Linked DNA regions of Macaca fascicularis. The protein of the gene in region 3 purifies or fractionates together with the protein of the main gene of each other region. This does not show direct contact. Links are inferred from orthologs where the notes say so. Each region holds a gene or a part of one and is shown on either strand. Other genes may lie near its edges.

Evidence for each region. The genes of interacting proteins can lie anywhere in the genome.
Region 1: the proteins of WDR77 (region 3) and CTDP1 fractionate together in Homo sapiens (co-fractionation; 3 studies listed by BioGRID and IntAct, with this or other methods). This does not show direct contact. The link is inferred for Macaca fascicularis from reciprocal best matches to the Homo sapiens genes WDR77 and CTDP1.
Region 2: the proteins of WDR77 (region 3) and COPRS purify together in Homo sapiens (affinity purification with mass spectrometry; 3 studies listed by BioGRID and IntAct, with this or other methods). This does not show direct contact. The link is inferred for Macaca fascicularis from reciprocal best matches to the Homo sapiens genes WDR77 and COPRS.

Annotation. Positions count from the first base shown.
Region 1 is NC_088392.1:1,256,536-1,262,590, forward strand, and holds part of CTDP1 (RNA polymerase II subunit A C-terminal domain phosphatase), read right to left. Parts: coding exon 5,088-6,055; intron 2,217-5,087; coding exon 2,081-2,216; intron 1,923-2,080; coding exon 1,716-1,922; intron 1-1,715. UniProt on the Homo sapiens protein: Processively dephosphorylates 'Ser-2' and 'Ser-5' of the heptad repeats YSPTSPS in the C-terminal domain of the largest RNA polymerase II subunit. This promotes the activity of RNA polymerase II.
Region 2 is NC_088390.1:38,090,403-38,095,536, reverse strand, and holds the end of COPRS (coordinator of PRMT5 and differentiation stimulator), read left to right. Parts: intron 1-2,220; coding exon 2,221-2,439; intron 2,440-2,937; coding exon 2,938-3,107; 3' UTR 3,108-3,372; downstream 3,373-5,134. UniProt on the Homo sapiens protein: Histone-binding protein required for histone H4 methyltransferase activity of PRMT5.
Region 3 is NC_088375.1:122,923,127-122,928,875, forward strand, and holds part of WDR77 (methylosome protein WDR77), read left to right. Parts: intron 1-236; coding exon 237-286; intron 287-3,275; coding exon 3,276-3,346; intron 3,347-3,474; coding exon 3,475-3,529; intron 3,530-4,002; coding exon 4,003-4,074; intron 4,075-4,635; coding exon 4,636-4,744; intron 4,745-5,305; coding exon 5,306-5,374; intron 5,375-5,749. UniProt on the Homo sapiens protein: Non-catalytic component of the methylosome complex, composed of PRMT5, WDR77 and CLNS1A, which modifies specific arginines to dimethylarginines in several spliceosomal Sm proteins and histones.

The DNA of each region.
Region 1 (6,055 bases), on a different chromosome or scaffold from region 3:
AAGGCCTGATGCCAACTGTGGGTCGTCAGCATCAAAAACAAACTGAACTGCAGGCGCCTGTCGGCCCCGAAGAGCTAGAGCAGCAGTGTTGGAAAGACACCTCGTGTTAAAAGCCCAACCAGCCCGGACAGGAAGCCTTTCTAACGACCAGAAACAACGTCACCATCAGGACGCCTTCTTAATGACAGGCGACGACATCGTCACCAGGACGACACGATGGGAGGTGACATCACCACCCAGCGCCTTCCTAACAACGGGAGGTGACACTGTCACCAGAATGTCTTCCTGTCCTTCGGGATGACATCATCAGTGTGTGGCTGGGGATCCTCTTCCCTGTCATCAGAATGGAGAACCTCGGATTCATCCCAAACCCCCCATCCCCCAGGTCCCAGCGCGTTGCCAGGCTGCCGCACAGGAAGCCACCCTGCACCTGCCCACCTCCCAGTCGCCCGACCCGACGACTCCTCTTAGCAACACTCCCCACCGTGACCTCAAGGGCTGTGAAATCAGCCGAAAGGGGCACACGCTACTCTCTAGAATCACAAAAGACAAAACACAATCTAAAAACAGAAAACCTGGGAGGAACCAGAGCGCGTTTCCAGAGGGAGTGGCCTCTCCCGAAAGCTGACTGGGCTTTGTCGTGGTGCCTGGCGGGGCCTCCTCACTCACCTGCCCACCCAGGCTCGGGAGCTGCCGCCCACTGTGCAAAGGCCACGCTCTGGCCACCCCTGCTCCTGACCTGGGAGGGCCATGCACTCCGGGCCTCAGTGTCCCCACGCAGGGACAGTGCTGGATCCTGCAAGGGCTCGAAAAGGACACCAAGTCGTACCTCTCCATCTACCCATTAACCATGAGCACCCGTCTCCCTCCAGCAGCCTGCGTTCTGCACCCGTCGCAGGATTTGAGGCGTTGTGACCTGTCAGAGGGCTTCCAGGGGTGAACACACACCAGGTCTTGGTAGGTGCTCCTCGCCCGGGTCAAGTTTAATCTAGTTAAACTTTTGGTTGAATTTCAAAGCAACAACCACAGAACAAAGACTCATTTAAATCTCCAAGAATGTCCCATGGGGTCTGCAGGGGCCACAACCTCAGGCTGAGGGCTGATCTCCGGTCCACACCGGTAAACAGGCACAGAGGCCACGTGCGCAGGAAGCATCCCCCGGGGCCTGCAATTTCCCCTCTCCAGGGCAGCACAGATCCCGGCTACCAACGCCTTCCAGTCCAGTCAAGTTTCCCTTCCTCACGGTGCTGTTTGCCAACAGCCACTGCCATCACCCCTGCGCCTGCTCTGTGTGGAAACAAAGACGGCAGCCCGGGGTCTGGCAGAGCAACAAACGTGGGGCCGGCAGAGAGCAGCCGGCAAGGCGACGGGGGCGGGGGCTCGAAACCAGCCCTGCTCTGCCCATTCTCTGCTGAGTGTTCCCAGGACCGAGTGCTCTGCGGGGCGGCCACAGGTGTGCACATGCAGGTGCCTGGACAACATCTGAGAAGCTGGTTGTAGGGTTTTGTTTCAGTTTTGGGAACCAAGAGAGGACAGAAGAACAAAAGGACCCGAGAGAGCCAGTGGGGGCGGCGTTCCCACAAGGTGGAAGCGGGAGTCACCGTCTGCAGCCTCCACCCGCCCTCACGTTGGGCAACTGGCGCCATCCCCCTAACGGACCAGAGCAGCTTGAAGAGCCCTCACTAGCTGGGGGCAGTGGCTGCGCCACCATGTACCTGAAGGAAGAGGGCTCCCGGTGGAGGGGTAAGGAGCTGGGGGGCGCTGGGGGCCCCCGGGCGCCCGTCCTGATGAGCTTCCCCGTGTTGGAGTCGTAGATTCGAACCTCGGGGCCAGGCTGGGCCTTGGGAAGAACCGGCATCGGGTGGAACAAGGTGGTGGGGGGCACACCCTCCCGGTCGGGAAAGGCTGCAGGACTGTTCTCCCTGTCGGAGGAACAGAACAAGGGCCATGAGCGGGGCGTCTGGGCGACGCAGAGCAGGCACCCAGGGACACCTGGCGGGCACTGCCTAGGTGTGTGAACCAACAGCTGTCTGGCGAGGGAACGCCTGGCAGGGATGTGCGGGGTGCGGCGAGGACCCACCTCTTGCTGTGGTCGTCCCTGAGCGGGAAGAGCTGCTCCTCCACCTTGTCCCAGCGCTCCAGGCAACTCCACAGCCAGTCAGGGTTGACCACGTGCAGGTGTCCGCACTCCTGCGCCTGCAGCACCTTCTCTGTGCCTGCGGGAGACCCGGCTGCATCAGGCTGTCTTGGCCAGCACTGGAGGCTCAGGGCCCACATCTGGCTGCACCCACCAGGGCCCTCACCCGACTGCACCCCACCAGGGCCCAGGGGCCTCACCTGGCTGCACCCACCAGGGCCCTCACCCAATTGCACCCCACCAGGGCCCAGGGCCCTCACCCGGCTGCACCCCACCAGGGCCCTCACCCAACTGCACCCCACCAGGGCCCAGGGCCCTCACCCGGCTGCATCCCACCAGGGCCCTCACCCAACTGCACCCCACCAGGGCTCAGGACCCTCACCCGACTGCATCCAACCAGGGCTCAGGGCCCTCACCTGGCTGTAATCACCAGGACTCGGGGCCTTCACCCGGCTGCACCCCACCAGGGCCCTCACCCAACTGCACCTCGCCAGGACTCAGGGCCCTCACCCAACTGCACCCCACCAGGGCTTGGGGCCCTCACCCGGCTGCACCCCACCAGGACCCTCAACAGACTGTACCCCACCAGGGCCCTCACCCGGCTGCAACCACCAGGGCTCAGGGCCCTCACCCGGCTGCACCCCACCAAGGCCCTCACCTGGCTGCACCCCACCAGAGCCCAGGGCCCTCACCCGGCTGCACCCCACCAGAGCCCAGGGCCCTCACTCGGCTGCACCCCACCAGAGCCCAGGGCCCTCACTCGGCTGTACCCCACCAGGGCTGCCCACTGCAGGTTCCCATCTCCCAGGCCAGGGATAAGCAGCCATGGTGGGAAGTGGTGGATCTCAGACGAGGAGCTGGGCACAGCAGGTGACGTGAGCATGTGTTCAGGAAGGCCCCTCAACAGTAAGGCCACAAACACCGAAGCAAAAAGAAACGTGAGCACAATTCCGGGGGAAGGAAGGAAAGCGAAAGAAGGGTCAAGAGCTGGGCAGACACAGGGCAGGGCAAATGGGCACCCGAGGGGCCAAGGAGGACCCCAGCCTGGCCCACCTCCATGCTCAGGAGAGAAGGGCCAGGAGCTGGGCACTCACGGGGCAGGGCAGATGGGCACCCGAGGGGCTCAGGAGGACCCCGGTCTGGCCTGGCTCCATGCACAGGAGAGAAGGGTCAGGAGCTGGGCAGACATGGGGCAGGGCAGACGGGCACCTGAGGAGCCAAGGAGGACCGTGGCCTGGCCCGGCTCCACGCTCAGGAGAGAAGGGCCTGACTGCCCGTGGGAGGCCAGGGCCTGGCTTTCTCCTGGGATCAAGGGTTTCGCTGGGCTCCACGGAAAGCCTGCCCCTGCCCTGCAGCCAGCACCTGCCTATTTCACACTGAGATGGAGCCTTCCATGTACCCTTGATTCAAACGCTTTACTGAGCACATGCATGTCCAACACCACGTGACACGGACTAGAGGCGTGGCCTCAAATAAGACCACACTTGCTGTCAGGGAGCGTGCGTGGACAGGGATGAGCTCACCCCACAAGGCTACCCTGAGCCCTGGAGGCGGGGCCACGCACTGAGAAGCCCTCTCAGGAAACGCCGCCAGGACAGGAAGCGCGATTGGAGGAGCAGAACCTGAAGTGATTTAGGCAATCTTCATTCGGGGAAAATCCAGGTGCTTATGGGAGCATTTTCACAGAATAACTAGAATACTGAGATATTTGGGTTTTTTAAGCACTGGGGTGCAAGTCTTCCTTCAAGATTCACCTATCGCTGAAAGGTTCTGTTTTATTCGGCAGAACTTTCAACGTGTCAGAGCGGCCTGCCCCGTCTGGGACAGGTTTCACCATCAGGAGACAGCAGGCCTGTCCTCCGCTCTCCCAGCCACAACGTGTCCTTCTACGCACGTTTCAGCCAAAACTTTGCACTTAGTTTTCTAACTCAGAGGCTTTGTCAACCTTTTACCTGTGAACTGAGGGCCCCGCATCCTGTTTCTGCCTGGAGTTTTTCCACTACACCCCATCGCTGATTCCTTGTTCTCTAATCCAGCCATGGCTCACTCACCCCATCGCTGATTCCCTGCTCTCCAATCCAGCCACGGCTCACTCACCCCATCGCTGATTCCCTGCTCTCCAATCCAGCCACGGCTCACTCACCCCATCGCTGATTCCCTGCTCTCCAATCCAGCCACGGCTCACTCACCCCATCGCTGATTCCCTGCTCTCCAATCCAGCCACGGCTCACTCACCCCATCGCTGATTCCCTGCTCTCCAATCCAGCCACGGCTCACTCACCCCATCGCTGATTCCCTGCTCTCCAATCCAGCCACGGCTCACTCACCCCATCGCTGATTCCCTGCTCTCCAATCCAGCCACGGCTCACTCACCCCATCGCTGATTCCCTGCTCTCCAATCCAGCCACGGCTCACTCACCCCATCGCTGATTCCCTGCTCTCCAGTCCAGCCACGGCTCACTCGCCCCATCGCTGATTCCCTGCTCTCCAGTCCAGCCATGGCTCACTCGCCCCATCGCTGATTCCCTGCTCTCCAATCCAGCCATGGCTCACTCATCCTATCGCTGATTCCCTGTTCTCTAATCCAGCCATGGATCACTCACCCCATCGCTGATTCCCTGCTCTCCATGGCTCACTCGCCCCATCGCTGATTCCCTGCTCTCTAATGCAGCCATGGCTCACTCCAGGGAGAAGCGCTGAACTTTCTACACCGCACGTGAGTAACTCACACCACCCAACACTGTGCGTGATGACTGCGGTCCGAAAGCATGAACGTGCCCGAACTCGAATTTCACCCAACGTCATGATCTATTCTTAAAATTTTGATGGTGATTCTGGGAAACGTTTCTAAAAGTTGAATGTGAGATGAACAGCAATGCCAGCTCTAAGGAGTGCCTGCAAGGAGACGGCGGGCCTGACCATGCCCGGGGCACAGGGAGGCAGCACTCACCAGCCCGCGCGGCGATCAGGTGCGTGGCCCTGTCAGGGGCGTCGGGGCTCAGCACCAGCCGAGTGAGGATCTTCGCTCCCAGCGCCGTGGCGTGGTAATGCTCCCGCGTCTTCTCTATCGGGAAGTTTGTCGGGTGCAGCCCACTGAAAATTATGGCCACATCAGCCAGCACCTTGCTCTTCAGTTCCGGCACGATCTTGCGGATATCCGGCGCCTCCTCGATCTCCTTGTTGAGGAAGCGGTCGTACTTGGCGTAGTAGTCGGTGTGCACACGGACCAGGATCTCCTCCAGGTAGATGAGGTGGTCATCCTCGTCCGTGTCCTCCTCCTCCTCCTCCTCCACACTCTGGTCCAGGGACTCGCCCGCGGTGACGCCCGACAGCTCGCTGTTCTGTGACTCGGTCTCCGCCTCCTTCCTGTCGGCACAGCCATTGCCCAGGCCGCAGAGGCCGTCCCGCTCGCCCTCCTCCTGCCCACCCAGCTCGGGCCCCTTGTCTGGGGCATGCGTGCCGGGCTCGGCCTCTCCGGGGAGACTCAGTGCTGCAGGCCGCCCCGGCTCCAGGGAACTGCCCTGAGCCAGCGCCCCGGCTCCCTCTGGAGCCGGGTTCTCCTCCTCCTTTGGCTTCTGCCGGCTTCTCCCCCCCTCACTTTCGCCGTCAGAGGCGGAGGAGGGAGACTTCGTGCCCTCGGACTCACTGCTGCTCTCGCTGTCGCTGGATAAGTCGAAGTCCAGGTCAGTGCCCGTGGCACCCTGGGCAGGCCGCTGTCCCGGTGCCGCCCGGCCACCCTGCACACAGGATCCTTGGGGCTCAGGAGTGCCTGCCAGCTCTCCACTGCTGGTGGGGGCCTGGGCAGCGGGCCAGGTGTCCCTCTCGTCCGGTTTCCCAGGGCGGGGCGAGTCCTGGGGGGCGGTAGCCTCACTGCCGTTCAGCTCCTGAGCCGGCTTCTCCAGGCCATTGCTGGGCTCC
Region 2 (5,134 bases), on a different chromosome or scaffold from region 3:
AGTGGCCTTTTAGCACAATGGCAGTGTTGTGCAACCATCACCAGTACCTAGTTCCAGAATCTTTTCATCACCCTAAAAGGAAACCCTGTGCTCACCAAGTAGTCATTCTCCATTCCTTCCTTCCCTGAGTTCTTGGCAACCACTAATTTGCTTTCTGTCTCTGTGGATTTATCTATTCTGGATAGGCAAATGTGAGTTGCCTGTAAATGGAATCATAACAACATGTGCCTTTTGTGTATGGCTTCTTCCACTTAGCGTATTTTCAAGGTGCATCCATGCCATAGCATGTATCAGCACTGCATTCCTTTTTATGGCTGAATAATTCCATCATACGCATATACCACATTTTGTTTTCCCATTCATCCATTGATGGACATTTGTGTTGTTTCTCCCTTTTGGTGATTGTAAGTAGTGCTGCTGTCAGTATCCTTGTTTTATTTGAACACCTCTTTTCAGTTCTTTTGGGTATATGTTTAGGACTGGGATTGCTGGGTCATATGGTAATTCTGTATTTATGTTATGGAACTAGTTAAGTAAATTTCAGCTCAGTCACACTTTTTTTTTTGTTTGTTTGAGACAGGGTCTCACTCTGTGCAATGGCACGATCTTGGCTCACTGCAGTCTCTGCCTCCCAGGCTCAAGTGATCCTCCCACCTCAGCCTCCTGAGTAGCTGGGATTACAGGTGAATGCCACTGCACCCAGCTAAATTTTTTGAAGTTTTTGTAGAGACAAGGTTTTGCCACATTGTTCAGGCTGGTCTTGAACTTCTGAGCTCAAGCAGTCTGCTTGCCTCGGCCTCCCAAAGTGCTAGGTTTACAGGGGTGAGGTACCACGCCCTGCCCAGTCCCATGTTTAGTACTTGGCAAAACAGGGATTTGAAACCAGGCAGTCTGGCTTTAGACCCCTTGCTCTGAACTATCACTTTATTGCTTATCACTGTTACTGTTGTTCCAGTATTAAGAGCATGGCTGTTTTAGGCTGATTGCCTTCTCTCCTGGGACCTGGCATCACCAAAGCACTGTGCTCGGAAATCCATTATCTTTCCCCAGTCTTTCCTCTCTTATTGTGAGACCTTTTGCAAATGTACCTTCCAGCCTCCCCACTGTCAGAAGGAGGCACTAGGTGCTGCCCATTGTAACTAGACAGGCTCTGGTCTGTCTGCAGTGCCCCTGCTCTCCTTTGTCCCTGTGCTCACCTCTAACATGCTCTTTGAGGCTGAAGGGAGGAATAAAAGAGCAAAAACGGCCGGGCGCGGTGGCTTACGTCTGTAATCCCAGCACTTTGGGAGGCTGAGGCGGATGGATCACAAGGTCAGGAGTTCAAGACCAGCCTGGCCAAGATGGTGAAACCCCATCTCTACTAAAAATACAAAAAAATTAACTGGGCATGGTGGCGGGCACCTGTAATTCCAGCTTCTCAGGAGGCCGAGGCAGATAATTGCGTGAACCTGGGAGGTAGAGGTTGCAGTGAGCTGAGATGGCGCCACTGCACTCCAACCTGGGCTACAGAGTGAGACTGTCTCAAAAAAAAAAAAAAAAAAAAAGCAAAATCTTAATTCAAGCTTGTATTGTGAAAGCGTATTATTTATCAGAGGCCCTTTGCCTCAGTGACAGACATGCAAACCACCTGAAAATGTTAACTGTCCCTAGCTCTCTTTGTAAATTAAAGGACCTGGCAATTAATGGTCTTGTATAAGACAAAACATCTTATTGAAAATAAGTTGGCCGGGCGCGGTGGCTCAAGCCTGTAATCCCAGCACTTTGGGAGGCCGAGACGGGCGGATCACGAGGTCAGGAGATCGAGACCATCCTGGCTAACACAGTGAAATTCCGTCTCTACTAAAAAATACAAAAAACTAGCCGGGCGAGGTGGCGGGCGCCTGTAGTCCCAGCTACTTGGGAGGCTGCGGCAGGAGAATGGCGCAAACCCGGGAAGCGGAGCTTGCAGTGAGCTGAGATCCGGCCACTGCACTCCAGCCTGGGCGACAGCGCGAGACTCCGCCCCCCCCCCCAAAAAAAAAAAAAAAAAAAAGAAAATAAGTTATCAGGTCTTTTAAAAACATACACAGAAGAGCATTTTTTAAAAAGTGCTCAGGTGGCGAAAGAAGACTCTGTGTACTTGCTTTACTACCTTCCTAGTAAGTCTGCCCAAAATTGACTGAGCACACAGCAGGTCCTCTTTGGTTTGTCACTAAGGCCATCTTCTCTTTGTCAATTTAGCCCGTGGAGCACAGAGCGTCCCTAATGACAGTCCTGCCCGGGGTGAGGGCACCCATTCTGAAGAGGAAGGTTTTGCCATGGATGAGGAGGACTCTGATGGAGAACTGAATACCTGGGAGCTGTCAGAAGGGACAAACTGTCCACCCAAGGAACAGCCTGGTGATATTTTTAATGAGGACTGGGACTTGGAGTTGAAAGCAGATCAAGGGAATCCATATGGTAGGTGTAGAGTCTCTGGGGGTCCTGAACCAGGCCTTCTCAGACACACCTGTCAGACTAGCGCTGAAGGCAGACAGTTTGGAACAGGGGTCCACATCTATGAGCTTAGGCTGGTATCTGTTACAGGTCTGCAATTTCTGTGACACCTCTTTTATATTGAAAAAAATACATTTGACTTCGTAATGTATCACTGTTTTAACATCAAAACTGTCACTGTCTCCAAAAATGTCTGCTATGAATTGAGCAGCTGCAGATAGAAGTGCTGTGTTATCCAGTTTGCTTCCTCTCCACTGCTAAGAACCCTTGTCTGAGAAGCACAGCTTCTCAGCTGTTCAGAATGAATGCATTTACAATTCTTCAGGAAAGGAGAACTGTGTGTGTTTTTAAACAAAATAAGTGCAAGGATCTGTCCCCTAGGCATACTTTGTGGCTGTCCATTTTTACCTTCCTTCCTTCCCTCCTTCCTTCCCTTAATCTGTCTTTTAAAACTGCCTGCAGATGCTGACGACATCCAGGAGAGCATTTCTCAAGAGCTCAAACCTTGGGTGTGCTGTGCCCCACAAGGAGATATGATCTATGACCCCAGCTGGCACCATCCGCCTCCACTGATACCCCATTATTCCAAGATGGTCTTTGAAACAGGACAGTTTGACGATGCTGAAGATTGAGTGTGGAGCTTTCTGCCTTGTAGGTGGGCGGGCCTCCACGTCAAGATCTCTTTTCCTGTCTTGGAGGTGAAAAGTGGTATCTGAGAAAACGTTCTCAGTGACCCCTAGTCTGCAGTACACAGACTAGTTCTTTATTGAACAGTGTTCAATAAGGCCCCGTCGTTCTCCCCAGTCTGTTGTTGTTACTAATGGGCTCCTCCTTGGAATGTGTATGTTTGTGTCAAGAGGAGTTGTGTTCTTTGTAAATAAAGGTGAAAAAAAGAAACTAGTATGCTTCGTCTGCTTTTTTCCCATTTATTTATTTATGGAGACAGTCTCACTGTGTCAGCCAGGCTGGAGTGCAGTAGCACAAACTTGGCTCATTGGAACCTCCACCTCCTGGGTTTAAGCGATTTTTGTGCCTCAGCCTCCCGAGTAGCTGGGACTGTAGGTGCATGCCACCACACCCGGCTAATTTTTTGTGTTTTTAGTAGAGACGGGGTTTCACCACGTTGGCCAATCTGGTCTTGAATTCCTGGCCTCAAGTGATCCACCCACCTTGGCCTCCCAAAGTGCTGGGATTACAGGTGTGAGACACTATGCCCAGCCTTCACTCCTTCATTTAAAGTCCCTGAATGACGTTTTAAAGATTGAAACGCTTGGAGGCTTAAAACTACTTTGTGAAAGAAAAAAAAATTGCCAGGCGCAGTGGCTCAAGCCAGTAATCCCAGCACTTTGGGAGGCTGAGACGGGCGGATCACGAGGTCAGGAGATCGAGACCATCCTGGGTAACATGGTGAAACCCCGTCTCTACTAAAAAATACAAAAAACTAGCCGGGCGCGGTGGCGGGCGCCTGTAGTCCCAGCTACTCGGGAGGCTGAGGCAGGAGAATGGCGTGAACCCGGGAGGCGGAGCTTGCAGTGAGCCGAGATCCGGCCACTGCACTCCAGCCTGGGTGACAGAGCGAGACTCCGTCTCAAAAAAAACAAAAAAAAACAAAAAAAATTTAGTTTTGCTTCTGTAGATCTGGCACTGTTGACCAAGGATTGAAATCCAAGAGACATTGGTGATTTTGTAGCTGATTGTTTTCCTGTTGGTAGAAAATGGAACATTTACTTAGTTAACAGGCTTTTCCCTAGGCTGAAAACTAAATGGGAAATTAGTTAAACCAGCAATTGCATAATCCTTAATTGACACTAAACTCAGTTTTCCATTTAATATTTTAATCCTTCCTTATGTGAAGTCTCTTAAAAATTTACCTCATTTTGGCTGGGCACGGTGGCTCACACCTGTAATCCTAGCACTTCAGGAGGCTGAGTTGGGCGGATCACCTGAGGTCAGGAGTTCAAGACTAGCTGGCCAACACAGAGAAACCCTGTCTCTACTAAACAAAAATTAGCCAGGTGTCATGGTGCACACCTGTAATCCCAGCTACTTGGGAGGCTGAGGCAGGAGAATTGCTTGAATCTGGGAGGCAGAGGTTTTGGTGAGCCGAGATCACGCCGTTGCGCTCCAGCCTGGACAACAAGAGTGAAACTCCATCTGCAAAACAAAACAAAACAAAAAAACCCCCAACTTTACCTCATTTTAGAGATAAGGAATGCAAGACTCAAAGTTTTGACCAGGCCGGGCGTGGTGGCTCACGCCTGTAATCCCAGCACTTTGGGAGGCTGAGGCGGGTGGATCACCTGAGGTCAGGAGTTGGAGACCAGCCTGGCCAACACGGTGAAACCCCGTCTGTACTAAAAATACAAAAATTAGCCAGGTGTGGTGATGGACGCCTGTAATCCCAGCTATTTTGGAAACTGAAGCAGGAGAATAGCTTGAACCTGGGAGGCAAAGGTTGCCGTGAGCCATGATCATGCCACTGCACTCCAGCCTGGGCAACAGGGCAAGACTCCGTCTCAAAAAAAAAAAAAAAAAAAAAAAAAATGTTTTGACCTCTTCAAGATCACACAGTGAGCAGCAGAACTGGGACCTAGATGCACATGTGACTCTGAGGTCCATTTTTGGCCCTGCGTGTGTGAGAAGATAGCACCATCTGGGG
Region 3 (5,749 bases):
TATCCTGTTAACCTCATTAGGTAACATTTTGGGCTTATTCTAAGAATTCAGTGACTAACTTTAGCATGTCTATAAGGTTTCCTTAGGGATTTTGCAGTCCATTGTAAGTAGACCATAGCAGCAGTCCAGGAGGCAAAGACTTGGGGAATGTTGATTACAGGAAGTTCATGTTTGAACACGTTTTTATGTTGCTAGTGTAGGTCAAGATTAAATGTCTGTTTTCTTTTGCCTCTTAGCATCAAGGTTTGGGACCTTGCTCAGCAGGTGGTACTGAATTCATACCGAGGTGAGTATTCTTTCATTTTTAGCCCTGGTCTTAGCTATTGTGTTTTTGGACTTTCTGAAGTTTGCTTTGATGTTAGGAACAGCAATTCCATGTTCTGATAGTTTTCTTATAAAACAGTAGTCAGGCTCCAGTATCTACCCCTTGTCCTTTTCTCAATTTCCTTGTTTCTTTTTTCTTTCTTTTTTATTTTTTTTTAATTCGACTAGTCAAGTACAGTAGTGAAAAGAGGGGAAGAATAGACAAGGAGTTTAGTCTGTAACTGACTGTGAACAATCAACTGAGATAACTCGCTACCTTCAGACCAGCCAGTTTCCCTGTTTCTATTGATGGCCTCACCACCTTGGCAACACAGGGCTCAAACTCTCGGTCCTTTTCCACCCCTTCTGTTTCCCCACCATCAGTTGGCCACTAAGTTCTTTTTAGTCTTTTCCACTGGTCAGTCACCTTCCTATCCATTTCTATGCCCCTATTCGCTTTCAGGCTTTACCTTACACAGGTAGTAGCACTCATGTCTCCACTAGCAATCTAGCTCTTTTGGTCTTTTATTAGTTTCTTGTGGCCAGTGGATTAAAATCCCATTTTCTTGTAATGGCATTGAAACCCTTTTACTGCATTTCCTCTCTTCAAGCTTATTAGATCCTTGACATTCTCAAGGGATAAATCTTGAGACTTTCAAATCTTGAACTTTTGAGTATTTACCTTCATAAAATGTCTGTTTTCTTTTGAGAACCATTGCTTTTTTAATGCCCCTCTTTCTGCTCACTTTCATTAACAGCACTAGTGGTTGACTTTATCTTGGGAGCCATTCTTTGTGAAGATAATGTCTAGAGCCTTAATGTGTGCATGTTCCAAGATTTAGATGCTGGGTGATTGATCACTGTGGTTCTCTTAATGGCTAAGTGCCTTTCCCTGCCATTTCTAACTTCAAAGTACATGATTAAGTTATAGACCAGAGAAATCACAGACTCATATCCAAGGTCCAGTATCCTGGACCTTCAGGGTCACTTGCAAATAGTTTTACAATAATGTTGAATGCCCAGCTGTGCGCAGTGGCTCACGCCTGAAATCCCAGCACTTTGGGAGGCTGAGGTAGGCAGATCATATGAAGCCTAGGAGTTAAGAGACTAGTCTGGCCAACATGCCGAAACCCTGTCTTTACTAAAAAGTACAAAAATTAGCCAGGCATAGTGGTGCACATCTGTAATCCCAACTACTTGGGAGGCTGAAGCCCGAGAATCGCTTGAACCCAGGAGGCGGAGGTTGCAGTGAATCGAGATCACGTCACTGCACTCCAGCCTGGGCAACAGAGTGAAGCTGTTTCAGGAGAGAAAAAAAAAGTCAATGCCCTACGTCTATTATATTTGCCTTTTATTGCGTAGACATATGTGCTTTCCTGGTTAATGCTAACTCTTTTTCAGCATTTCTGCCATGCAGCCTTTCTGTTATTCTTTGTGTTTGTGTCTTATTCCCCCTGCTGAATTCCAAATCCTTTATTTTTTTTTAATTTTTTGTAGAGACAGAGTCTTGCTATGTTGCCCAGGCTGGTCTCAAATTCCTGGGCTCAAGGGATCTCCCGCTTTGGCCTCCCAAAGTGCTGAGAGATTACAGGCATGAGCCACTGCATCCTGCCCCAAAACCTTTGAGGGTAGAGGAACCATGTATTCTTCATCTTTTCTTTACCACCATGATGCTTGTCCCAGAGCTTTGCTTTTTTCAAGTGAGCAATAAATTCCTTTTCTTACTTCTTATTCTGTTGACTTTCTATGAATTCTAGGGCTAGGAAAGAACTATGGAAGCTGGTTTAGTTCCATCCTTCTGCCTCAGGGAAGGGCCACATTCAGACTACCTGGGAAAGTCTGGTAAAATGACTGTGGAAGAGGTTTCCACAGTTTCCAATTAACATGTAGCAGTGACTTTAAAGTTTTTTACATGTAGACCTCCTAAAACAATTTTGAAAATCTGTGCCCCCTCATACATTTTAAAATTGATACCTAAAGAAATTTTTTAAGTAGTTGCAGAGAAGGTAATTTCTGGCATATAATTTATTATATACTTATTTCAAGCGTATATTTGTCCAAATTTTAGGTTTGCAGGTTAATCCTATTTAGTTTGTACAAATGTCTACCAAATAGCCTAACTGGCAAAAGCCAATCTGCATTGTAAAGCCAGTGGACCAAGTTAGACTAAATTTTCCATCAGAAAAAGTCTGACTTTGTTTTTAAATTCAGATAAAGTTGTTGAATATGTCCTTATCACAACGATCTGTCATATGTTTTAGTTCTCGTTATTAGACAGAAACAGAGTGAAGTTACAGAACCATACTTGTGTTTGTGGTGTGACTGAAACAAGATCAGCGCCCCCTTCATTGAATTTTACCTAGATACTCTTTCTTTTTGCTCTTCGGTTCTTAGGGAAAAGCCGCTTTTGTGCCTTAGTTTAGAACCCTTATGTTTTTATACCCCTGAGCATTGTACCATGGAAAGATCTGGGATGAATGACAGGTATGTGTTCTTTCTTTAAAGTGGAAGAAGGGTGATTGTGAAAATAGAGGCAGTTCAATTTTAAGAAAGAGAACATTAGAGAAATTGGCTCTCTTAATACTATTAGCGCCCAGAACTCCCTCGAAAGTTTTTGTATACTACTTGGAGGTATGTGTGCTCCAGTATGAAGACTGCTATTCTAGAATTATTTAGATCTCACGTCTAAGATGCCTTAACTGGAAATTCCTTTGTTATTCTTAATAAGCTCCTAATTTCTCATTCATTGTTTTCACTAATACATTTTTTTTTTACAAGGCTTTTTAGGTTTTATAAGTGTATAAACTTCTCCTCTTAGCTTTTGTCTGATCCATAATCTCCCACAAAATTTGTTAAATTGCATCATGAGACCAGCCCTCCCTCCCTCCTGCACCTTGATTACTCCTGGGCTGGCCCTCTTGTAATGCTTCAGCTTGTTTTCTATCATGTTTCTCTTTCTCTCTCCTTTATAGCTCATGCTGCACAGGTCACTTGTGTTGCTGCCTCTCCTCACAAGGACTCTGTGTTTCTTTCATGCAGCGAGGTAAGAGATAGCTCCTTCTTCCCTAAACACACTCCAGCCCTCCATAGGCCAAAGTCTCTAGTGTGGAGACTTTCTGGCCTGCAGCGCTTTGGACTGTGAGATCCTTTTTCTGTTCCGCCTTCCTCTAGGACAACAGAATTTTACTCTGGGATACCCGCTGTCCCAAGCCAGCATCACAGATGGGTGAGTCTGAGATTCATTGGTGGGAGAGTAGTACTTGGAACCCTGATAGAAGAGAATTTCTTTGGCCAGTGTCAAAGCATAGTTGCCAGATGCCCAGTGTAGTTACTGTGACATGAGTGACATAATCTCCTTCTTTTCCACTGAGACTCTGCTAACCCCATTCTTGCAATGCATACCAAGAGGAAGGGCCAGTTCCTGGGTGGCTGATTTACTTTATTAGACGGGAGGACAAAGGGGCCAGAATTGTTATCTTCATGATTTGTGCCTGAAACTTGCCTGTGACTCATGTCCAGAAAGGGCAGGAAGCTGGTGGATAAATGGTTATGAGGCTCAAGGATGAGGACACTGCTGCCTTAGCAGGGTTTGGGAAATCAAATAAAGGTGCTCCCAGGATTTAGAGTGATGTCATTTGAGAAACCGCTTCTTCTGGACTCTTTTGAGTTTTTGTCCAGACCCTCTTCTCTCCTTTGCAGGCTGCAGTGCGCCTGGCTACCTTCCTACCTCACTGGCTTGGCATCCTCAGCAAAGTGAAGTCTTTGTCTTTGGTAAGGCAGCATGTCAGACTTCATATTGACTCTGGGAAAGGGGAGGAGGAAAGAGAAAGAGCTGACTCCACAATGCACAAGGCCCTTGCTGCTCAGTCTTAGCCCTCATGGACACTAGATGAATTATGAATTGAGGGTGGGGAGGTGGGGTGATGCCAAGGTAGTTTTAGTGTAGCTTTGGAGAACATGATTATTTTCCCAGTGGATTTGATTTTTGATTGATGGATCTAGCTCCTATATTCTGGGCATGGCTATAAGTCAGTGAGCCACAAAGCAAGTGGATTGCTATACAGCGAATTCTTTTCTACTGTGGGTAGGTGTAGAGCTATCGTGGTCATGAGGCTGTGTGTATGGTGACGTAGTTTGTGGTTAAAATAATAACTGCTTCATTCATTAACTTAATTTTCACAATCATCCAGTGACGACTTATCCCTGCTTTGCAAAAGAGATAACTGATGCTCAGAATGGTTAACTTTTCCAAGCTTAAGGAACTAGGATTCACATCTTTGGCCCCAAAGTCCATGCTCTTAATTACCATGACATGTCCCTTCTCTTCTACAGGTGATGAGAATGGGACAGTCTCCCTTGTGGATACCAAGAGTACAAGCTGTGTCCTGAGCTCAGCTGTACATTCCCAGTGTGTCACTGGGCTGGTGTTCTCCCCACACAGGTACTGTTCTTTGTCATCAGGGGCCTGATGGGTATAAATGGGAACAGTGAGGGTGTGTGTGTATGTTTTCAAAGCATTAGCTCATTAAGTAGTTCCTTAAAGCAGACAGTGTTCTAACTGAGGTTTTGGAACATCAAAGATCTCTTAAGTGGGAAGTGGAATCCTTTGGGAATCAAAGGATTTTTCAGATTATACGGTTTCTGTCTGAAATGGCTAAAATGTGGTCTCATTCCTGCTCAACACCCAACATGGTTCATATTGTGGGTTTCTGGGACTGTGAGGTTGGAAAAGCCTGTGTTTCTGGGTTATTGCTGAAGCTATAGAGAGGGACCAGATGGGGCGGTTAGTTACCAGGATGGTTGTCAACCCTAACTTTGCTTCATTTCCTTCATCTTTACTTGAAACTTTTAGTGTCAACTTAGAGTAGCCAGACCTTAGCCAAAAGTGGGAATCAGGCTGCCTTTTCTGGGTCACTTTACAGTAGCGGTGGCGCCAGCTCAGTTAAGGTTTTGTCTTGGGATCCAGGCTGTGCCTTTCACAACCCTCTCCTCCCTCTGATAGTGTTCCCTTCCTGGCCTCTCTCAGTGAAGACTGCTCACTTGCTGTGCTGGACTCAAGCCTTTCTGAGGTGTAAGTGTGAAGTGGAATCCTTTGGGAATCAGGGAAGGGGAGCAGTGGGTGGGTGAGTCATTTTCCTCTTCAGAAAAGTGTATTGTGCTTTTGGAGAACAGATTCTCCGTCTGTATCTGAAGGGACTTGGTAATGGAAGCAGGCTGGCTGTTGACCCTCTCCGTTCATGGGGCACATTCACAACCCCAAGGACAAAGCTGTGTCCTTGGTAGAGCGGGGTGGTAGGTGGAATTTTTAAGTCTAGCACTCCAGCCCTCTCCCACAAGGGGGCGGCAGTATATCCTTTCACATAGAGAACTGCATATGAAATGCAGTCTGCTACAGGGTAAAAGGCAGCACTTGGAAGACCTGAATTGTACTTCCCTCCTTGCCATG